Arabidopsis thaliana: one gene and its partners. The protein of the gene in region 1 interacts with the protein of each later gene in a biochemical or structural test. Each region holds a gene or a part of one and is shown on either strand. Other genes may lie near its edges.

Region 1 (4,887 bases):
TCTATGGTATAACAAATTTCTAGCAAATATTTAAGTTTCCATTTGTTTTGATACTATTCTTGTAACAAATTTGTAGGAATACTCGTACTTGTATTTACACTCCAGGATATCCTCCTTTGCTACCAGATGACCTTACTGAATCTCTACTTCTAGATGTTCTTGATGGAGTAAGAGTTCTATATGTAAATGGAAGGTCCCGTGAAGCCGAATTGCTTCTTGCGCAAAAGGTGAAATGAAAATGCTCTGTTTGGTGTGTTTTGCTTAGTTCTGTTTACGTATGTTACAGCTCTTTCTCACTCATCTATGGTTTTTATGCAGGCACATAGCAAGAATATACCAATCTTAATTAATGCAGAGAAAAAAAGGACAGGGCTAGATGAGCTCATTGACTTAGCTGATTATGCTATTTGTTCTACTAACTTCCCTCAGGTGAGAGTATTTCTAGGAATAGTTCTGTAATTCACGGATCAATTGGTTCATAGGTTGTGAAATACTAGAGAATCATAGTAAAGAGCATACCACTTTCTTAAAAAGCTCTTTGTTGATGATTAGTGAAATCAATTAGTATTAATTGTTGGTACCATAAATCTGAATATGTGGAATCTATAACTTATGGAGCTTAGGTGAATCTATGAGAACTTCTAATGAACTAGAAGGTTCATGTACTCTTTATTATTTACACCTGAAAAATCCGACAATGTTTTGGTTTTGTAACCAGTAACACATGATCTTGCATCAAAATTGTATCATAGCTTGTGTTTAGAATGACTAGAATCTTTAATGGTCGACTTATTTGATTGGGAAAAACAGGAATGGACAGGGGCACCCTCATCTCCCAGTGCACTTCTCTCTATGCTCATAAGATTACCAAAGCTAAAATTTGTGATCATGACTTTGGGGGAACACGGTTGTGTGATGCTTGAGAGATGTTCCAGTGGTGAGTTTTCCTTATTTACGATTGTCCAAAGGTCAGAGTTTTTGACTTAGGATCACTCATGTTCTCCATAAAGGAAGGCTTATGTATAAGGGGCTAATTTGTAACTAATGTTGTTGTTGGTCAATATATCATTCGAAATCTTTTTACATGCTAACATCACACCATGCCTTCTTCCATGTACATGCTAACTTCTAGTGTATCAACATTACAGAGGTTTCAGGGTCAGAAGAAGAGACAGACATAGATGAATTACACGAGTCTCTGAAACAAAGCACAGACTTTACAAGTGTCTTACCGGTCTGCAATTCATCGGTAAATAACGTTTTCAGATACATAATTTCCTCACAAGTTCTACATTTTGTTAATGAAAATATCTTCAATGCTCTTAACATTTTCAGCTAGTGACTAGACTGACAGGGAATGTTACAGGGAGATTGGTTATAGTAACAGCTGAGAAAATACCTTCATCGGAACTCATAGACACAACCGGTGCTGGAGATGCGTTTACCGGAGCTTTGCTTTATGGTATTACGCTTCACTAAATCGTAGTAAACCAAATGTATCTGAACAGAATCTGACCGACTCCAATTGTTTACAGGTTTGTGCACAGGCATGGCTTTAGAGGAAATGTTGACATTTGCATCTCGAGTCGTAAGTTTGCTTCTTCTTCTTTTGTTTATTCCAGCGCTATTTTCAAAACGCTAGGCGTTACGCGTTTGATCAGAATAGTGATTGAAGGAATTGCGTTTGAAATTTGTGTAGGCTGCTTGCTGCTGCAGAGGTTTAGGAGCTCGAACAAGTCTTCCATATCGTACTGATCCAAACCTTGCAACGTTCTTAGGGACATGACCGTAATTTTCTTTGTTTTCTTGACGTATAAAATCTCAAAGTCTTCTTGACGTATAAAATCTCAAAGTCTTCTTGACGTATAAATACGTCTGTATTTATTTCGTATGAAAGTGAAATAAAATAATGTTCCTAGATGCAGCCAAGTCAGATTCTCGTTTCAGCGTTTGTGTGTGTGACACCGTCTTACTTTACGTGTACCATGTGAACAAAGTTCTAATGAAAAAGTATCACAATATGATAAATTAATAGATGTCTTTTTGTTGAATTCGGTGTATTAGTTATATTAATATCTTAATTATACACCATGAAGAATTAGACAATGAATTAAAGAGATAGATAATGTGTTTTAAATTCTCCCACATGCACATGTAATAATAATTCTGGTGACATCAAGAACAAAATTTAGAAGAATTTTTTTTTAGTCTCATACGTTTTTGAGACAAGTATATATTTCGCGAACGGACATAATTGTTTTAGCGTGTCCGAAAGTTAGCTCCGTGATTATACAAAATCAAGGGGTAGTTTGGGAATAAGATGTCTTAATCAATGTTTTAATTGCAAATTGATGCTGTTAAGCTATTCAGACCAAATCCCCACAGAAAGTGGAAGAGAGCAGGGAGGCACGAAAAGGGAAAAACAAAGTAAGCAAAAAAAAAAAAAAAAAAAAGAGAAACGAAAATAATAATACTCAAAAAATATTCGGGGGGAAATTTTTCCCAGAAACGCGTTTAGATTTGCAAAGTTCGTCTTCTCCAATCTACAGTTCTACACCAAATCTCAGTTTATTCGCTTTGAGGACCTTTTTTTGTAGATTTAGAAGCTCAGTGCTCGTTTTGATTTAATCTAGATCCAGAAAGCTGAAGTCTTTGATCTACGAAACGAAATGGTAAGATTCGTTTAATTTTGGGGGAAATTAGTTTAATTTAGCGATTTTTAAGGGCATCTAATATCGGATCATGGCTTTGTGCTTGACTTTTGAGTCTTCTTCTGTATGATTATAGAGATTTGACTGCAACTACGACTTGTCTGTTTTGGAGTTTGACGTTTGGTCTAATTCTAGTATGATTGGAAATCAAATTTCATGTGATTGAGGTTATTATAGTCTGAAATCAAAAGCAATCAAAAATGTAGTTTTTTAAAGAGTTGTGATTACCATAAGGAAGCTTGTGAGAGCTCAAGAAGCATTCTTTTAGTGACACACTTTTGCTCTACAGGTTGCTAACTTCAATCCATCAGTGGGGTCATTTGTGTGGGTGGAGGATCCTGATGAAGCATGGATTGATGGTGAAGTTGTACAAGTTAATGGTGATGAGATCAAAGTTCTATGCACTTCAGGAAAACATGTATGTGTGTGTGTGTGTTTGCTTCTCATCTAAATTAGAATCACAAGAAGACTTTTGAGAGAAAGCAGTTATTGATTTTTGCTATTTTTGGAAAATTCAGGTTGTTACGAAAATCTCTAATGCTTATCCTAAAGATGTGGAAGCACCAGCCTCTGGAGTGGATGATATGACTAGACTTGCTTATTTGCATGAACCTGGAGTTCTACAGAATTTGCATTCAAGATATGATATTAACGAGATTTATGTGAGTAATTCATATCGATGTCGAATATATATGTACTATGAAATATGTGTGGACTAAATTTTATTTACTTTCAGACTTATACAGGAAGTATACTTATTGCTGTTAATCCGTTTAGAAGACTTCCTCATCTTTATAGTAGCCATATGATGGCTCAATATAAAGGAGCTTCCTTAGGAGAATTGAGTCCACATCCATTCGCCGTCGCAGATGCTGCGTATAGGTAATTTATACACACTAGTGATATATATTACCTTTATTTTTTTGTTGCTGTTGTTGATCCTTATATGTAAACTTGCCTGCTTTCGTGTTCGTTCTAATGCAGACAGATGATTAATGATGGAGTAAGTCAATCTATTCTGGTTAGTGGAGAAAGTGGTGCTGGTAAAACTGAAAGCACAAAGTTGCTTATGAGATATCTTGCTTACATGGGAGGGAGAGCTGCTGCTGAGGGAAGAAGTGTTGAACAGAAAGTGTTGGAGGTGAAAAAAAAACATCATATTTAGTCAAATCAAGTTTTTAGATAATTGAACAAATATCTAAAACTTCAGACTTCAGAGGATGGTCGAATATTCATTTCGGCTGTGTTTACTTTTCAAGAGCAACTGTAGAGTGAACAAATAACTTAAACTTCAGAAAATCAATGCTAGTAGTCATTTACATTAAGGCAAACTGAATAGTCAGCAGCTATTTGCTCACTTCCATATGCATATGATGTTGATTTTCCCTTTTCTTGCTTTGATATGGTTCTTATAAGCTTCTTCATTGTGTCTTTTATTCAGTCGAATCCTGTTTTAGAAGCATTTGGAAATGCAAAGACTGTCAGGAACAATAATTCCAGGTAACCTTTTTTTGAAAAAGCTTTTCAATATCACCACTTTGGGTGTTTCTGAACTGTTTATTTGTGTACTTTATAGTCGCTTTGGTAAGTTCGTGGAGATTCAGTTTGACGAAAAGGGAAGAATATCAGGAGCTGCCATAAGAACTTATTTGTTGGAAAGATCACGAGTTTGTCAAGTCTCTGATCCTGAAAGAAACTATCACTGTTTCTACATGCTTTGTGCTGCTCCACAAGAAGTAAGTTTTGTAGTTCACTTCGGAGTAGTAACACCGAATAACTTACCATACATGTCCAGTATCTGAGCCTCGTTTGGCATACAAACTCACATCTTGTTATCTGAAATGTTTTTTTGTACTATCAGGATGTGAAGAAATTCAAGCTGGAGGAACCAAAGAAATATCACTATCTCAATCAGTCTAAATGTCTAGAGCTGGATAGTATAAATGATGCGGAGGAATATCATGCCACAAGACGGGCAATGGATGTCGTCGGGATCAGTACGGAGGAGCAGGTAGTTATCACAGAACTCCATCAGTCAGATTTTAGCCAAAGCTGCAATATTGCCACTGTAAACGGATTCTATGCTTTGCTGATATCTTGTTTCAGGATGCTATTTTCAGCGTCGTGGCAGCCATTCTCCATATCGGGAATATCGAATTTGCTAAGGGGGAAGAGA
Region 2 (5,168 bases), on another chromosome or scaffold:
AATGGGAAGAGCCTGACGGGTCTCTTCTTCGATAGCATCGGAACTGAGCTCGCTCACTTCCCGACTCCTCCAGCTCTCACTTCACAGTTCTGGTTGTGGTTGGTTACGTGGCACTTAGGCCTCTTCCTCTGCCTCACTTTCGGACAAATCGGATTCAAGGGCAGGACTGAAGATTACTTCTAAGGATAACTATTCTTGTTTTCGTTTGTACTATATGCTCTCTCTTGGTTATGTGTAATATTATCAATCAAAACAAAGCTTTCTTTGCTATTTGATGTTTCATTCTATATCTCGACAAGTCTTTCTTATATGATCTTGATTTTAAGAATGTCTGTCAGTCTAACTAAAGTATTAAATGTTAAAAGCGTTTCTCGAGGGAAAGCTCACAAAAGATTGGGATAATACTTCAAAACGAAACATCACAATACGTCTTTGACTTGAACCATACAAACAGTTTTTGTCTTGCAATCTCGAATCTTTTAAAAAATAGAAAAATTATCTCTCTTTCTTCTTACTCTTTCATGTTTTTTGTATTAATCTTGATGTGTATATGTTCCAATAAACTCTAAACATGCATGAAGATTTGTGAATCTAAAGTCTTTAACATGTCTTTCGACTACGAAACAAAAATTGATGAGGAAAGGTAAAAACTTGAAAGTAGATAAAATGAAAAAGTAATTCCAAGAGTTAAACAAAGGGGGCAGTGCAGTATCTTATAAGGTTCCAACAACACTTTCAGAGGGAACAAAACTACATTTTAACTACACATTCTAGATCAAACAGCCACTATCCCACACGTAGATGCTGACCAGCGCAGCTTCATTGTTGAAGTGCATTTTGTAAAGTTCGGGTAATCTTGTCAATGAATTCATCCTCCTGTCAAAAGCAACTCGTTAGGTTTGCACAGCAGCTCAAATAAAGTGATGTGGTAAAGGACGAACCTGCAACAGGGATAAAAGGGCTTCCTTCACTTTGTCTCTGCTGATAACCGGACCAGTGGGTGCAGGAGCGAGTGATGGTGGTGGAGTTGGGGGTGGGAAAGGCTGGAGCACCGGAGTACCATATGACCGCTGCTGGTGACTCGCATTATTAGGATTGAGAGGAGGAGCAGTGGGCATAGATACACCAGGAATGAGGTGTGGCTGTGCCATCATTCGTGGGGGGCCAAAGAAAGACGGCGTCACCAAATCTGTGTGAATGTTGGAGTTGCTGCTGATAACTTCAGGGTTGTTGTCAAAGAGAGTCATCAGAGGAGAGGAGGATTGTAGAGGCGGTGGTGATTGTATCTGTGGAGGTGCTGCTGCCGCTACAGGAGGAGCAATGGTGGGTTGGTGAGGCTGGTGAGGTTGGTGAGGAATCGCTGATGATTGGTAAGGTCCACTTGCTGACCCACTCGCAGTGTTCCCAAGATTCATCGTTGACTGTCAACAATTTAGATAAATTCAGTGTTACAATTTGAGGAGTCTAAGTTGGACCATATACTACGCTGAAGATAATTCAAGAACCTAGAAGGCTAGAACTAATAGAAAGCCCTCCTGCCATTAGTCGTATAAGATGCTGTCATGGTGAAGATGATAGTGTGAGTGTGTAACAGAAGCTTTAGAAACTTACGCTAAAGAAGTTGACAAAAGCAGGATCATCAGGGGCATCCCTAGCAGTTGATGATGGTTCAAGAGGACCATCCATAACTGCCATTGTAGGCTTAGCTTCCAATTCCTCAAACTCACTGCAGTACATAGAAAATCTAACTTAATTTAACAAGTAAGAGATATAACAGCGGGAAAAATGATTTAGATTATCAAGTTTCCACCTCAAAGAAAACACATCCAAGAAACAACTAATGGTGTACTAACTAAATCTAATCATGAAAATATTACCTCTTTGAAGATGAGGCCTTTGGCTTCTGGTTAACCTTGGAATATGCACTGAGTATTCTGTCATGCCAAGGAACCATTAGGCAGAGATACAACGAGTAAGAGTAATTTCAAGTTCATACAAATATACAAGAACATTATATTTGCCAACAAGTAACTGTCTGATAATAGGCAAATAAAAGACGATATTGATATTATTCATGATCCAACAATTGAAACCAACAGTTTCTACCTGATATGCAGTGACTTATATATACATACCTGTTGAAAAGAGTTGCTACCTCCTCGCATTCACGTTTATTGTAGAACCAAATGCCATTTACTTCTTGAGATGCATTACGGTAAAGTAAATATGGACCTTGTACTTCATACTCAAAATCTCCCAGGAGATTCTCCACCAGATTATCTATCCAGACAAATACAGCAACACACTGATGATTACTAATACTGAATCCTTAAATAAGAACTTGCAATATATTACTAAATCTAAACCTTTTCTAGACACATGACACACACCAACTTTATTTGAATAAATCCTGACCTGTATTACGACGATTCATCACAATAAACTGAAATCGAGGTTGTGTACTTCTGAAAGAAACAAAAAAAAGGATCCAATCAGATTTGAGAAGACGATTAAAGATAAGATACACATAGTTAAAGATCGAAAGTAGTAACCTTTTGACAACAAACAAAGATCCTTCAACGTCCTTACGACTCTGAATGACAAAAGACAGATCAATCATTAGGTAGGGAAGCAAACATCAAATTATGTAATCGAAGATTGATTGAGACTAACCCATTGGCTGAGCTCAATGTTGAATTCATAGAAAGTGACATGAGCGGCTGTGATGAGGATTTCCTCGATGTATGGATCGATCCGCTGGAGAACTGTGAGATTGAGGAGCCTCGTACTGTTTTGGTCCAGATTTGGGATTATCTTCCCGTTTTGAGACATCTTTTATAAATCAAAGATCAGAATTTTGGGAAATCTGGATTCGATTTTACCCTAATCGGAAGAACCCTAGAATTCTGATTTAAGGTAGCTGAGAGATTTGGGGACGGAGACGAAAACGCTAACTTTTGGAACGCACTTCGCTATTTTGTTGTCTGCTTTGGCAAAAAAAAATGGTAATTTAGTTATAAAACTTAAGAGAATAAATATACTGACCATAAAAGCATTAGAGTTTGCTTCAAAAATACATCATTAGAGCTTGCTTAAGAGATTATAAACAACATTAAAGAAGAATATTTATTCAATTGGAGTATAATCAGTGGGTTGATCCTTTTAATTCAAAGATCAATTACTGCATAGTCAATAGAATTTGGTTATGGAACAGTCCACGAGGACAATTTTCAAATTGAAAACGAAAATTTCTGTTTTTATTCACATCTGTGGATTGATTCGTCTTTGAAATAAGCACATCTAATTCAAAGATAATATAAGCTACAAAATCCATTAACCAAAATCACTGCAGTTATTTCAAATTATCCAAACCAAAAGCTAAAGAGGAGAGTAGCAGCACAACTCTTACACTGTTTAACAGATATGTCTGAAACAAAAACGAAAGGGTAAGAAGAAGTGTCTTATAGCCACCAATTTTAAGTAGGTGAAAGCTCAGAAGATTCTTTGTGGTGGTCCCATTGTGCTCTTGAGGTACAAACACCTGACATTTTGCCAGTTCTTCTTCAATAGCGAGACGAGGAAGTTGACGCTCATCTGCACATTCTGAAAGATCTGCTTCTCTTCCATTGAAAGGTTACCAACTGCAACTCCCATGCACAGAACCTTCTTCAGCTGGAACTTCACTGTTGCCTTTGTTTCATTCACCTTTGACTCCAAGGATTCCTGGTGGCTCACAAGAGTTGGGAATTTTCCTGTGTAAAGTAAAGCAAAGGAATGTTACTTAAGAATCATCAAAGAAGCATAATCTCACAGGATAAAGGATTGGCATTGTATCAAAAAGACATTGACAAAAGAAATAGACTACTAAAACCTATCCAAAATCAAAACGGATGTAAAGAAGAACAATGGAATATTAGCTGTAGCCAGAACTTGCCTGCCTTGTTAAGACCAGGACCAAGAAGACGAGGAATCTGCTTAATGACAGACTCAGAGGCCAAGAAAGCATGGTATTTCTTTGCAAGCTTCTTGACGAGTTTCTTGTTCTTGTTAAGCTTTTTTAGAGACTCAACATCCATGTTTTCCAACCCCATCTTCTCAGCCTACGAAAAGATACAAGATGAAATAAGCAAATATTTAATTATGCAAGAAATGAAGCCTAAATAAACAATGACCAAATTCCGAAAACATCATGCATCTACATTCAGAAGACATATACAACATCAAATGAAACTAATAGAGCCACCAAATGAAATGAGCACAAAACCATTATACAAGAAACAGAGCACAAAATGATCAATTTCCATGAAAAGATATATCACCTCTTCAACATGCTGGGCATCTCCGAGCATGCAGATCTTCATTTTAGGACGGGGGATATGTGGTAACTTGACAGATCCACTGAAACGCTTGTCCTTTTGAGGGTCATAGTTCTTCAGACCGATCTGGAGCTCAATAGTCTCGACAAAGTTACGTTTCTTTGCCTCGGATTTCCCTGTGATAGTAGTGATGGCTTCACGAACGGCCTCACTCTGAAGCTTACTGTATTAACCCACAAAGAACAGAGTTAAGCAAATTAACTAAACAAACAAAAATACACAACATTGACAACCTCAACATGAACAACCCACATTATAGACACTACCATACAAAATAATCTTATCTTAATACACCTAAATTTTTATGAGGCAAGATTTAGATTTGTCATCCAAATTTAGAGGCCTTAGTAAAGAGCATTTATGCAAAACTGCAGAACAACTTCGTGTCAATCCTAGACTATTAACATCATAAAGCTATCAATAACGCACATCCAAAAAACAATCACGATTCAGAGACGTATTGTTCTCTAATTAAACTTATTGCATATGACAGAAGAACAATACGTCTCTGAATCACGATTCAGAGACGTATTGTTCTCTAATTAAACAGTGAATGTAAGAGATGCGTCAAGTACCTCATTTTGAGCTTGTCTCAATTTAGCTAAGATCTGATCCTGGAAACGAAACAAAGACAACAAAAAAAAGAATCAAAATCTATAGCAGAAGCTCGAGAAACAAGAATAATCTAATGTACAGTATACATATAAACGAAGAAGAAGAATCAAGCTAGAAGTGAAGCAGTCGTTGAGGCACAAACCTGAGTGACGAGACAGACAGAAGAAACCCTAAATT
Region 3 (4,634 bases), on another chromosome or scaffold:
AGAATGTGAAGAAAAAGTCTCATTACCAATAATAATAAGAATTGGATTTGACAAAGTTTGAGAGTCTGTGTCAGACTTTATTTTAGAGGGACCAGGTCGGTTAACTGTCGTTGTCATGAGATCTTTCCTGTCTGTCTTTTTATCATTCAAACAAAAAAAAATGAATTTATAAAACTTAAACACAAACAAATAAGATCACTTTTGATTTATTTTATTTTTTAAATAAGGATGTGCAGGAATGAGATTTTCTTCTAAAATTGTGGGAGTAAATGAATGAATCTAGGTATGATTGATTTCATCAAAATCAGAAAACTGATTGTTTCTAGAAAAACATGCATTTGGGGTATTTTGAAACCACATGAGTATATGATGAGTTATTATAAACTAGAATTGCGTTGTAAACGAAATAGAACAAATCTTCTTTTGGAAATCCGTATACTTTAGCGTAAGAAAATGGAAGAATTTGATTTGGACTCGTATCTTTGAAGTATATATAATTCAGCATTTACATTATTGAGATTTATCTCTCATATGTTGTTTTTGCTTTTCCTCATTCTATGGACTTAGCTGCAAGTTTTAAATATCTATGGTAATGAACATGGTCCAGCCTATACAGCAACGAATATCTATCACTATTTTTAATATATATACACAATCAAAATTCAAAACCATGAGTTGCTTGCATATCCCTGTGTGGTCAAAGTCAAGACTGAACTATATTAAAGAGAAGTATCTTGCAACTAACACCATAGCTTATTCAAGACACAGCGACATGGAATATTACATTTCTTAGTTGTTTTAAACAGCCATTGGTTTTCACAACACTTAGTTAAAAAGGAAGTAAAAAAAGAGTCTCAGATAGTTTTGATTAAAACATTTTTTAAACTACTGACCGCAGCAACCGCCATTGTTCTGTTGGATTGGCTGACCTTTCATTTGGACAGTTCCAGGACCAGATGTCTTGTTTGCATTCGTTTGGCTTCCCATTCTGCAAAGAAAATGAGTTACGATATGATTAGACTCAATTCTCCATGTTACATAAACTAGACTGAATCAGCAAATGTCGATACAAGATATCAACCATATGGAAAATCTATCAACAGAAGTTAAGTACACAAGCTTGAGGAAGCTACAAGGATACAGCAGTTAGTTTGTTGATTTGCTTTCCATTAGTCATCAAGTCTAGAATAGCACACTTCGGATTTGAAACTTTACATGAATAGTTTATTTCATGAAAACAGTGGAGAATCAAGATGCTTTGCAGCAGAAAAAAACACAGAGAATGATTTGATGTATATAATGGTGATCAAGGAATATAGTAATAGAACAAGTTTACTAAACCTAATCTATGTTAAATCTTCGCAGAAAAAATTATGGCGAAAGATTAAAGATAGTGAACATACTTCTTTTTTATCTCGCCAGCAATAGTTAAGAATGCCTGTTCAACGTTAATAGAATCCTTGGCACTGGTCTCAAGAAAGGGAATTCCAAGCTCATCTGCTAAGGCCTGCAGTGATTTTGAGTAGATGAAATGTAAGAAAACCAATTCACAGTTGTATCAGGAGTAACAGCTGCTGCAAAAATAAGCAATTTCTACTCGGTGGATTCAGATCATCTAGCTTTGGGAATTTGGTCAGAGATCATCTACATTCATAGCCGTAAATTCTGGTATAACAATCTCAATGGTTGTAATATCATCACATGGTTAAAGATATGCGAAACCATGAAATGATCAAATGAGGAAAGGGGAAAGTACCATGCAAAGGATGTTATGCATAAGATAGAAGCAAAATCATAAATGGAAAAATTGCTGGGAACTTAACTAGGGATGTGAGCTTACCCTTCCAGTTTCGGTGGAAACAACTTTGCTTTCAACCATATCATTCTTGTTACCGATTAAAAGCTTGCAAACACTCTCATTGGCATATCTATCGATCTCACTCAACCACTGCTTCACATTGTTGAAGCTTTCCATCTCAGTACAGTCATAAACAATCTGTTGCAATTATCATCATTAAGGTTCATCACTTAAAGGGTGGATTACAACATTAAAATGATTCATATTCCAACATTACAATACCAATCTCAGACTAAACCACTTAAAATGAGAAATGGAAATAGGGACATAACACTAGTCTAGGTAAGCCAAAAAAAAGCAAGTAAGAAAGCGAATATAAAGATTGCTCACAATGATTCCATGAGCTCCTCTGTAATAGCTGCTAGTGATGGTCCTGAAACGCTCCTGTCCAGCAGTATCCCACTAAAAGAGAGCAGCAACAGTAAAATTGAGTAAACACAATCATCCAAAACATATTATATAATTGAAAACTCACAATTTGCAGCTTAATCGTCTTCCCATCCTGCTCAATCGTCCTAATTTTCTGCAAAACCAACCACATTATAAGTAAGTTTGGGATAAAACAATCTCGATCATGTATGTAAACAAGGTCAAAGAATGAACTTACGAAGTCAACACCAATGGTGCTTATGTAGCTGTCAATGTAAGCATCATCCTAGAAATAGCAACAAATCCCAAAATCACGAAACAGTACAAAAGAAGAAACCTAACACGAGCTAATTCTCGACGACGGAATCAATTAAGAATCAAAATCAAGTCAAACTCACAGCGAATCGGAGAAGAAGACACGATTTTCCAACAGAGGAGTCACCGATCAACAAAAGCTTGAACAGATAATCGCTACAACAACAAAAAATCGAAATCGGTGTGAGTAAAATCGAAAACGAAAGAATGGCTCTCAAGGAGGAGAGAAACACTTACTACTCGTTGCTCATGATTTAGCTGAAGACTGCGTTTCCGAGATTTGATTTTCCAAGATGAGAACAACTTTCCGGGAAAAAGCTCTTTTTCTCTATAATATAAGAAACAAAAAAAAAGAGAGGTTTGGGTTTAGGGGGCGTGTCAATCAATTTACATGAACATTGAACCCCACGACTTCTACTGGATTTTTTTGTTCCCAGTTTTTTTAATATTTGTTTAATTCCTTGTTGTTTTTCCCGAGACAATAAAGAAGCTTTGACCTTGTCTCACTGATTTCTTTACGTGTGTGTGTCTTCTTATTTGGGCTTTTTGATAAATGGGCCGAGCTCAAAATCTTGTCTATCTAACTTAACCGTCGTTAACGTCCTGGCCCTGTTATTAAAGGTTTGGATTTTATTACTCATGTATATGTCTCAATTTTTATTTTTATTTTTTTAGAGAAGATAATTTTACATAAATTTGATTTATAATCCGTGATCAAGATGTGAGGAATTAAATATAATGAAGTATTTAAAGCGGATTAAAAAGGTATATTGAAAAAGAAAAGAAAAACTTTGATTGAATATGCATGGATTTTCCAATTTTATATGACAGTATATTTTATCAACAAAATCATTCTCTTTTTCATACTCCATTCATATCATTTTTAATTAAGTCATATTAATCCTACCAAAAGTTACCTTCTAATTTTACGTTTCTTCTAATTTCCTTTTCTGGCAAAAAAGAAGATATTTCCTCAATTTATAATATTTTTTTTCCATCAAACTATTTTTTTTTATATAACCAAAAAAAAAAAGTGTAGTAACGCTAACGTGTTTGCAGCTTGCAACTTGGCTAGCAGATTTAAAATAAGATAAGTTCTAAAAATAAACAAAACATATATAGCCAAAAACACAAAATTAAAAACACGAAGATTTGTTTCACACAATACTTGGAATATCCTAATTATAAATAACTAAAAAGATTGAGAAACGAACACAAATCTCCACCTTATACAAGAATCGTAAAAGAGAAAAAAAAAACAGAGAGAGATCTTCAAAAAGATGGCGATCGTTAGCCCTAATTTCTGTGCACCGTACCCTATCGAGTTGGGAATCGTACGGAAGGTGATGACTTTAACCGATGGTAACTTCGCCGTCACGGACGTTAACGGCAATCTCCTTTTCAAAGTCAAGGAACCTTTGTTTAGCATCAGCGACAAAAGGATTTTATTGGACGCATACGATACTCCAATCTTGACTTTGAGAGAAAATGTAAGTATACGTCTATCAACTACAATTCTTTATAACTTGCATGGAGAGGCACAATTTTTTCATGGTGATACAAAAAAAAAATTTCATTATGCAAATCATATATACACAAACATGCTCTTATAACTTGCATGGAGGTACACTTTTTCAATACGTCTATCAACTAATTGTAAATAATATCAAAATCATCATCACTCATTCGAGTATGTTAAATCGTCATAGATCATCCAATAAAATCTGATCCACAACTTTTTTTTCTTATAACATAAAAATTGTAGAAGGTGAGCTTGCATGATAGGTGGCTAGTATATAGAGGGAAGAGTACAGACCAAAGTGATCTATTATACACATTGAAACGATCTTCAATGATTCAAATAATGAAGCCAAAACTAGACATCTTTTTGGCTCATAATAAAGAAATGAAGATTTGCGACTTCCATGTTAAAGGAAGTTGGATCGACCGGTCTTGTGTCGTCTACGCCGGCAAATCTGATGCCATTGTTGCTCAGGTAATTACACTGATCAAATTGTCTGTAAATTGTATAAACCGGACTAGCTAGTTATATGATCGTGTTAATTGAGTCATTGTTGTTGTTTTGTTGTTT
Region 4 (4,266 bases), about 17 Mb from region 1:
GATCTTCATATTCTTATACCGACATTTTAGCTGAGTAATAAACATATGTACTGTTCTTGTTACTTTGCAGCCCCAAGGCATCAAGATCACTAAACAAGATACTGCCGCATCGTCTTCTACAGCCGAGAAGTCAGCTTGCTGTAGTTACGTTTAGGAGTATGATTGCTCTTTTTCGCCTGCACCGGGTTTTTTAAATATCTGGCCATCTTTTTCATCTCTTACGTCTCAAATCAGAGATAATTCTCATGTTGTTACCTAGAACGAGTAGGAAATCTCATTGATGGTTGTGATCTTTATGTCTAATTTGTTATCTCCATAATTCCTGTACAATGATCTTCCTGATATGGAAGACTATGTTGGTCAAAAAACTATGTGAAAAAGACTTTGAATTTATAAAAATGAAACTGTTGTAGTGTGTATACCTCTGACTTCACTGTTCAAATCAGGATTTATCTTATTCACTGTGAATGCTGTTCTCTACTAGAACCATAGTTTGAGCCAAAATAAACACGGATTTAAGAAAACACTTGATGGGGTTTATTCTATTATATGATGTTATTATCACAAATCTCATTTCAGAAGCAAAAGAAGAATACAAGTAATCCCACAAATTTACATTGAAGCTACATTATGTTCTACACACAAAAGAGGCAACCACAGAGAGAAGAATCAGGTTCAGTTTGCAATACACAAGATAAAGATTCGAGTATTTTATATGCAACATCGACTAGGGTCACTAGCTGCAACAGCCGGATTGAGTATTAGTCTGGTGTTCTGGTTTCTGCTTCAAGATGTTTCTCTTCACAGCACTTGATCCTTCTTCCAAGAGACTAGGTACCTCCATTATCTGTTTCATCACATTCACTCTATGTTATATATGAATCTCTCTTTTCGAATCGTTTTTTTAAACAGATTTAAGGATCTTTACCTTCAAAGCCAACTCTTCGAAACACTGTTCCACGTTTTGTCGAGTTCTAGCACTACACTCAAGAAACATGCAGTTGAGTTCTTTTGCTAGAGCAATCCCTTCTTCTCTGCTTACTCCTCTCTCAGATTCCTGTAATCATATGTTTTATCCAGTCAACTACCAAAATGACCAAACCGTGTTTTGAGAACAAGTAGTGCGATTTCGATTGCAACTCACTCTATCGACTTTGTTCCCAACGAGCATCCTTACACATTCTTGGTTTGTGGAGTAAAGCTCAATCTCCTTACCCCACACATCTACTAAGTTTGTAAATGTCTCCCTTCTCGTCACATCATAAACTGCATTCACCAAGAAACATTAACTAAACAGTTTACAGACAGAGAGATCTCTTAGTCTCCTTTGATTGATTGATTGATGATGGACGTTACCGAGAATGATTCCTTGGGCGCCTCTGTAGTAAGAGCTTGTCAGTGTTCTAAACCGTTCCTGTCCAGCTACAATGAGAAAACCGAGAATATTATCAGAACCATTAGTTTTATTTACAATAAAACTTCTATAATAATCTCAAAATATAGAATCATTCACCTGTGTCCCAGATTGTGAGTTTTAGCCTTTTGCCTCCTACTGTCAATTGTTTGATCTTGAAATCAACACCTATGAGTAATACTTATGTTAAACCAACAATATAATGCCAATAAGATCCGACAAAACAGACTTCCTTAAACCAAACCAAGACCAGACTGCTAGATTATCAGACAGAAAGTATCTAACTGGGTCTAACCAAAAAAGTCAATATTGTTTCAGTGGCAATTCGATCAAAGACAGATGTTCATCATTCAAGCTCTTCCATTTATAGAATACTACTATTTGATCAACAACTAAAGCACCAAAGACATGACTTAGCTTCATATCAATTTCAGAGCTCTTAAGACATAAATCTGAGACCCTTTTTCAAAAATCATAGAGGAAACAAGTTGAAGAAAACTATTTTACCAATAGTAGGAGCAAGATCTTCAACGGAGCTAGAAATGAAGCTGACAAGCAAACTGCTTTTACCAACACCAGAATCACCAATCAACAAGATCTTAAAAGACAGATCGTATCCACTTTGCCCAGAAGAAGATCCCATTTTCTAAAACCTCAGATTTGCTGTTTCTCGATCTGTAATTCTAGAAGATCAAATCAAATCCTACTTAACCACCAACTACTACAAAAGCAAACTTTTAGATAAACAATAATATGAATCTATGAAGCAGTAATGATGATAATGATAATGATAATGATGCTTCCTCGTTTGATAATTACATCTATCTGCACTCTCTACTTTATAAGTAGTAGCAATCTAAGAAAAAGGGAGAATTTTTATTTGCCTGTGAATGATGCAAACAAATGTTTTGATTAAAATAAGGAAAAGAAATGTGATGAAGAAACTGGAAGATTTATTCTTTACGGAGAAAGAGAGGAGAACTGGTAAAATGAGAGTTTTTTTTTTTTTTTTCTTTTGAAGAAGAAGACAAGACACAGACCTGAGATAGTAACGTTTGTTCTTTGCTTTCTTCTCTCCGACACTTTGCTTCACTCAAACGTCTCTGTTTTGGTTTCCAGGTTCTTTTGTCGACGTGTGTGTGTAGCGTTTTGGAATCGCGGCTGCGGTTGCCATATCTATTAACCACTGCGGTTGGAGACTAACCGTTTTCGTGGGCTACCAATTGAAACGATTTGATTTTGTCAGTTAGTTTGTTAAAGCGTTTTAAATTAGCGATTGTAAAAAGGGAATGAGCATTATTTTTGGACAGACTAATTTAAACAGTCTAAAAAATTAGACGATTCATTGAACCGCTTAGAAAAAGTGGTTGGAATTCATTATTATTTTTAAATTTTAATGTGTCTATACTTTCATGAATTTTGTTTTTTATATCTATAAAACAATTTATGATATGTCACTAGCTTACTATACATATTTTTTTAGTCATTAACATCATTTCTCATTGCTTTAGGCTATATTGTATTCTCTACAATATAAATTGAAATAAGGAAAAAAAAAACTTACAATGACTAAATTTTAGTCACCAATGGAACTAATTATTTTGTAAGAAGGTTGAAAACTACTTTTTTTTTTTTCTAGAAGAGTCGGCGAACAGTGATGGTTAAATGAATTATGGGAGCCATGTTTGGCCTTCGTCTGCTGTCAGCCAAGCCCCTGCGAAACCCCACCCCTGGCCTGTGCAAAAGTTTACGCGCGCATTCTGAGAACGTGCTTTCCACGCTCCGATTAAGACGTCACTAAGAGTCAAAGCACTTTGATTTTCTCTTCTTTTCTCACAAAACACTTTCTTTTTTTATATACAGTATGATTTTTTTTTTTGTCGTCATTTTTTTTTATTTATTTATTTAATATGCCTCTTATGGTAAAACATATTTCAAGAAGGTTTATGTTTCTATAAACTAAAAGTTATCAACGGCAGATGAATAAATATGGAACTAATTTTCTCTCTAAATATCCAAAAATATGAGAATGTTGTCCATGGTTTTGGGAACAGAATGAGTGACGGAAAAGCCATGAAAAGAAAAGGTATCTTAGGAATATCATCTTCCTTTTGCTCGCCTAACCTTTTTTTATTGTTCTTCTCTTTTTGAATTTAAAATATTTTTCTGCTCTCTAGTAAACATTTAAACCATCGTAATAAATTGAGAATAAAGTGTGTGTATGTTTGTGTGTGTGAATGTTCGGTGTGATTTCAATTTATTGGAGGATAGAACTGTTGTGTCGAAATTGACACACCAAGGTGCCAAGTTGAGTACAAAATAAAGATCCTCTAGAGGCTACATCTTCGTCTAACAATCCTCATAAGTCTTCTTCTTCTTCTTTTTTTTTTAGTTTTCAACACACTAATGTCAAGTGTTTTGTTCATTTCTTTTTAGTTATAATATGTCTCTTGAGAAAATGTTGATATTTAGTTTGTTGTTGAGCCATTTATTTTCTGAGACAAATTTGGTCGTTAATGGATAATATTCTTAGAGATAGATCTACAGTACTGTGACTTTTGTGTAAAAACAAATTTGTAGCCGTATTTAATGGGCTATTTCGTATTTGGACAATAGCCTTTTATTTTGTGGGCCATGATATGTCAACACTGCTCAATGCTTATAAATGTTGTCGACATTTAACGAACGATATAACACCAAAAACTTCGAGTTTGTAAAGAAAAATTATGAGAGGATTACATTATGGTTAGCATATCTGACTATAATAAATTGAAAAATTACATTACTGGTTGATGGAAAGACAAATTTTTATTGAAGTGTACTTATTTCTTTAATTTTATTGGAATATAATA

What was found.
Region 2: the proteins of MYA2 (region 1) and DCP1 form a complex in vitro, tested with the Arabidopsis thaliana proteins (one study listed by BioGRID).
Region 3: the proteins of MYA2 (region 1) and ATFP8 form a complex in vitro, tested with the Arabidopsis thaliana proteins (one study listed by BioGRID).
Region 4: the proteins of MYA2 (region 1) and RABC2A form a complex in vitro, tested with the Arabidopsis thaliana proteins (one study listed by BioGRID).

The regions. Positions count from the first base shown.
Region 1 is NC_003076.8:17,664,436-17,669,322, reverse strand, and holds the start of MYA2 (myosin 2), read left to right. Parts: upstream 1-1,871; 5' UTR 1,872-1,909; coding exon 1,910-1,996; exon of another isoform or gene 1,997-2,013; intron 2,014-2,359; exon of another isoform or gene 2,360-2,370; coding exon 2,371-2,427; exon of another isoform or gene 2,428-2,633; coding exon 2,634-2,672; intron 2,673-3,000; coding exon 3,001-3,129; intron 3,130-3,229; coding exon 3,230-3,373; intron 3,374-3,447; coding exon 3,448-3,593; intron 3,594-3,695; coding exon 3,696-3,852; intron 3,853-4,152; coding exon 4,153-4,211; intron 4,212-4,287; coding exon 4,288-4,447; intron 4,448-4,572; coding exon 4,573-4,722; intron 4,723-4,817; coding exon 4,818-4,887. Other genes in the region: AT5G43910 (pfkB-like carbohydrate kinase family protein), read left to right, coding at 77-227, 319-429, 811-937, 1,149-1,249, 1,336-1,462, 1,536-1,588, 1,700-1,786. UniProt on the Arabidopsis thaliana protein: Myosin heavy chain that is required for the cell cycle-regulated transport of various organelles and proteins for their segregation.
Region 2 is NC_003070.9:2,636,019-2,641,186, reverse strand, and holds DCP1 (decapping 1), read right to left. Parts: upstream 3,151-5,168; 5' UTR 2,833-3,150; coding exon 2,674-2,832; intron 2,594-2,673; coding exon 2,553-2,593; intron 2,466-2,552; coding exon 2,416-2,465; intron 2,281-2,415; coding exon 2,136-2,280; intron 1,935-2,135; coding exon 1,878-1,934; intron 1,727-1,877; coding exon 1,612-1,726; intron 1,422-1,611; coding exon 942-1,421; intron 877-941; coding exon 820-876; 3' UTR 524-819; downstream 1-523. Other genes in the region: PSAO (photosystem I subunit O), read left to right, coding at 1-183; AT1G08360 (Ribosomal protein L1p/L10e family), read right to left, coding at 3,493-3,752, 3,935-4,100, 4,320-4,539, 4,952-4,956.
Region 3 is NC_003074.8:3,708,605-3,713,238, forward strand, and holds ATFP8 (Ras-related small GTP-binding family protein), read right to left. Parts: upstream 3,014-4,634; 5' UTR 2,794-3,013; coding exon 2,780-2,793; intron 2,699-2,779; coding exon 2,626-2,698; intron 2,514-2,625; coding exon 2,466-2,513; intron 2,382-2,465; coding exon 2,334-2,381; intron 2,261-2,333; coding exon 2,189-2,260; intron 1,997-2,188; coding exon 1,841-1,996; intron 1,508-1,840; coding exon 1,404-1,507; intron 989-1,403; coding exon 886-988; 3' UTR 527-885; downstream 1-526. Other genes in the region: AT3G11720 (Polyketide cyclase/dehydrase and lipid transport superfamily protein), read right to left, coding at 77-117; AT3G11740 (LURP-one-like protein (DUF567)), read left to right, coding at 3,823-4,032, 4,308-4,538. UniProt on the Arabidopsis thaliana protein: Protein transport. Regulator of membrane traffic from the Golgi apparatus towards the endoplasmic reticulum (ER).
Region 4 is NC_003076.8:885,005-889,270, forward strand, and holds RABC2A (RAB GTPase homolog C2A), read right to left. Parts: upstream 2,697-4,266; 5' UTR 2,455-2,696; exon of another isoform or gene 2,090-2,454; 5' UTR 2,058-2,089; coding exon 1,922-2,057; intron 1,583-1,921; coding exon 1,514-1,582; intron 1,423-1,513; coding exon 1,357-1,422; intron 1,267-1,356; coding exon 1,145-1,266; intron 1,058-1,144; coding exon 929-1,057; intron 848-928; coding exon 737-847; 3' UTR 518-736; downstream 1-517. Other genes in the region: RAB8C (RAB GTPase homolog 8C), read left to right, coding at 71-154. UniProt on the Arabidopsis thaliana protein: Intracellular vesicle trafficking and protein transport.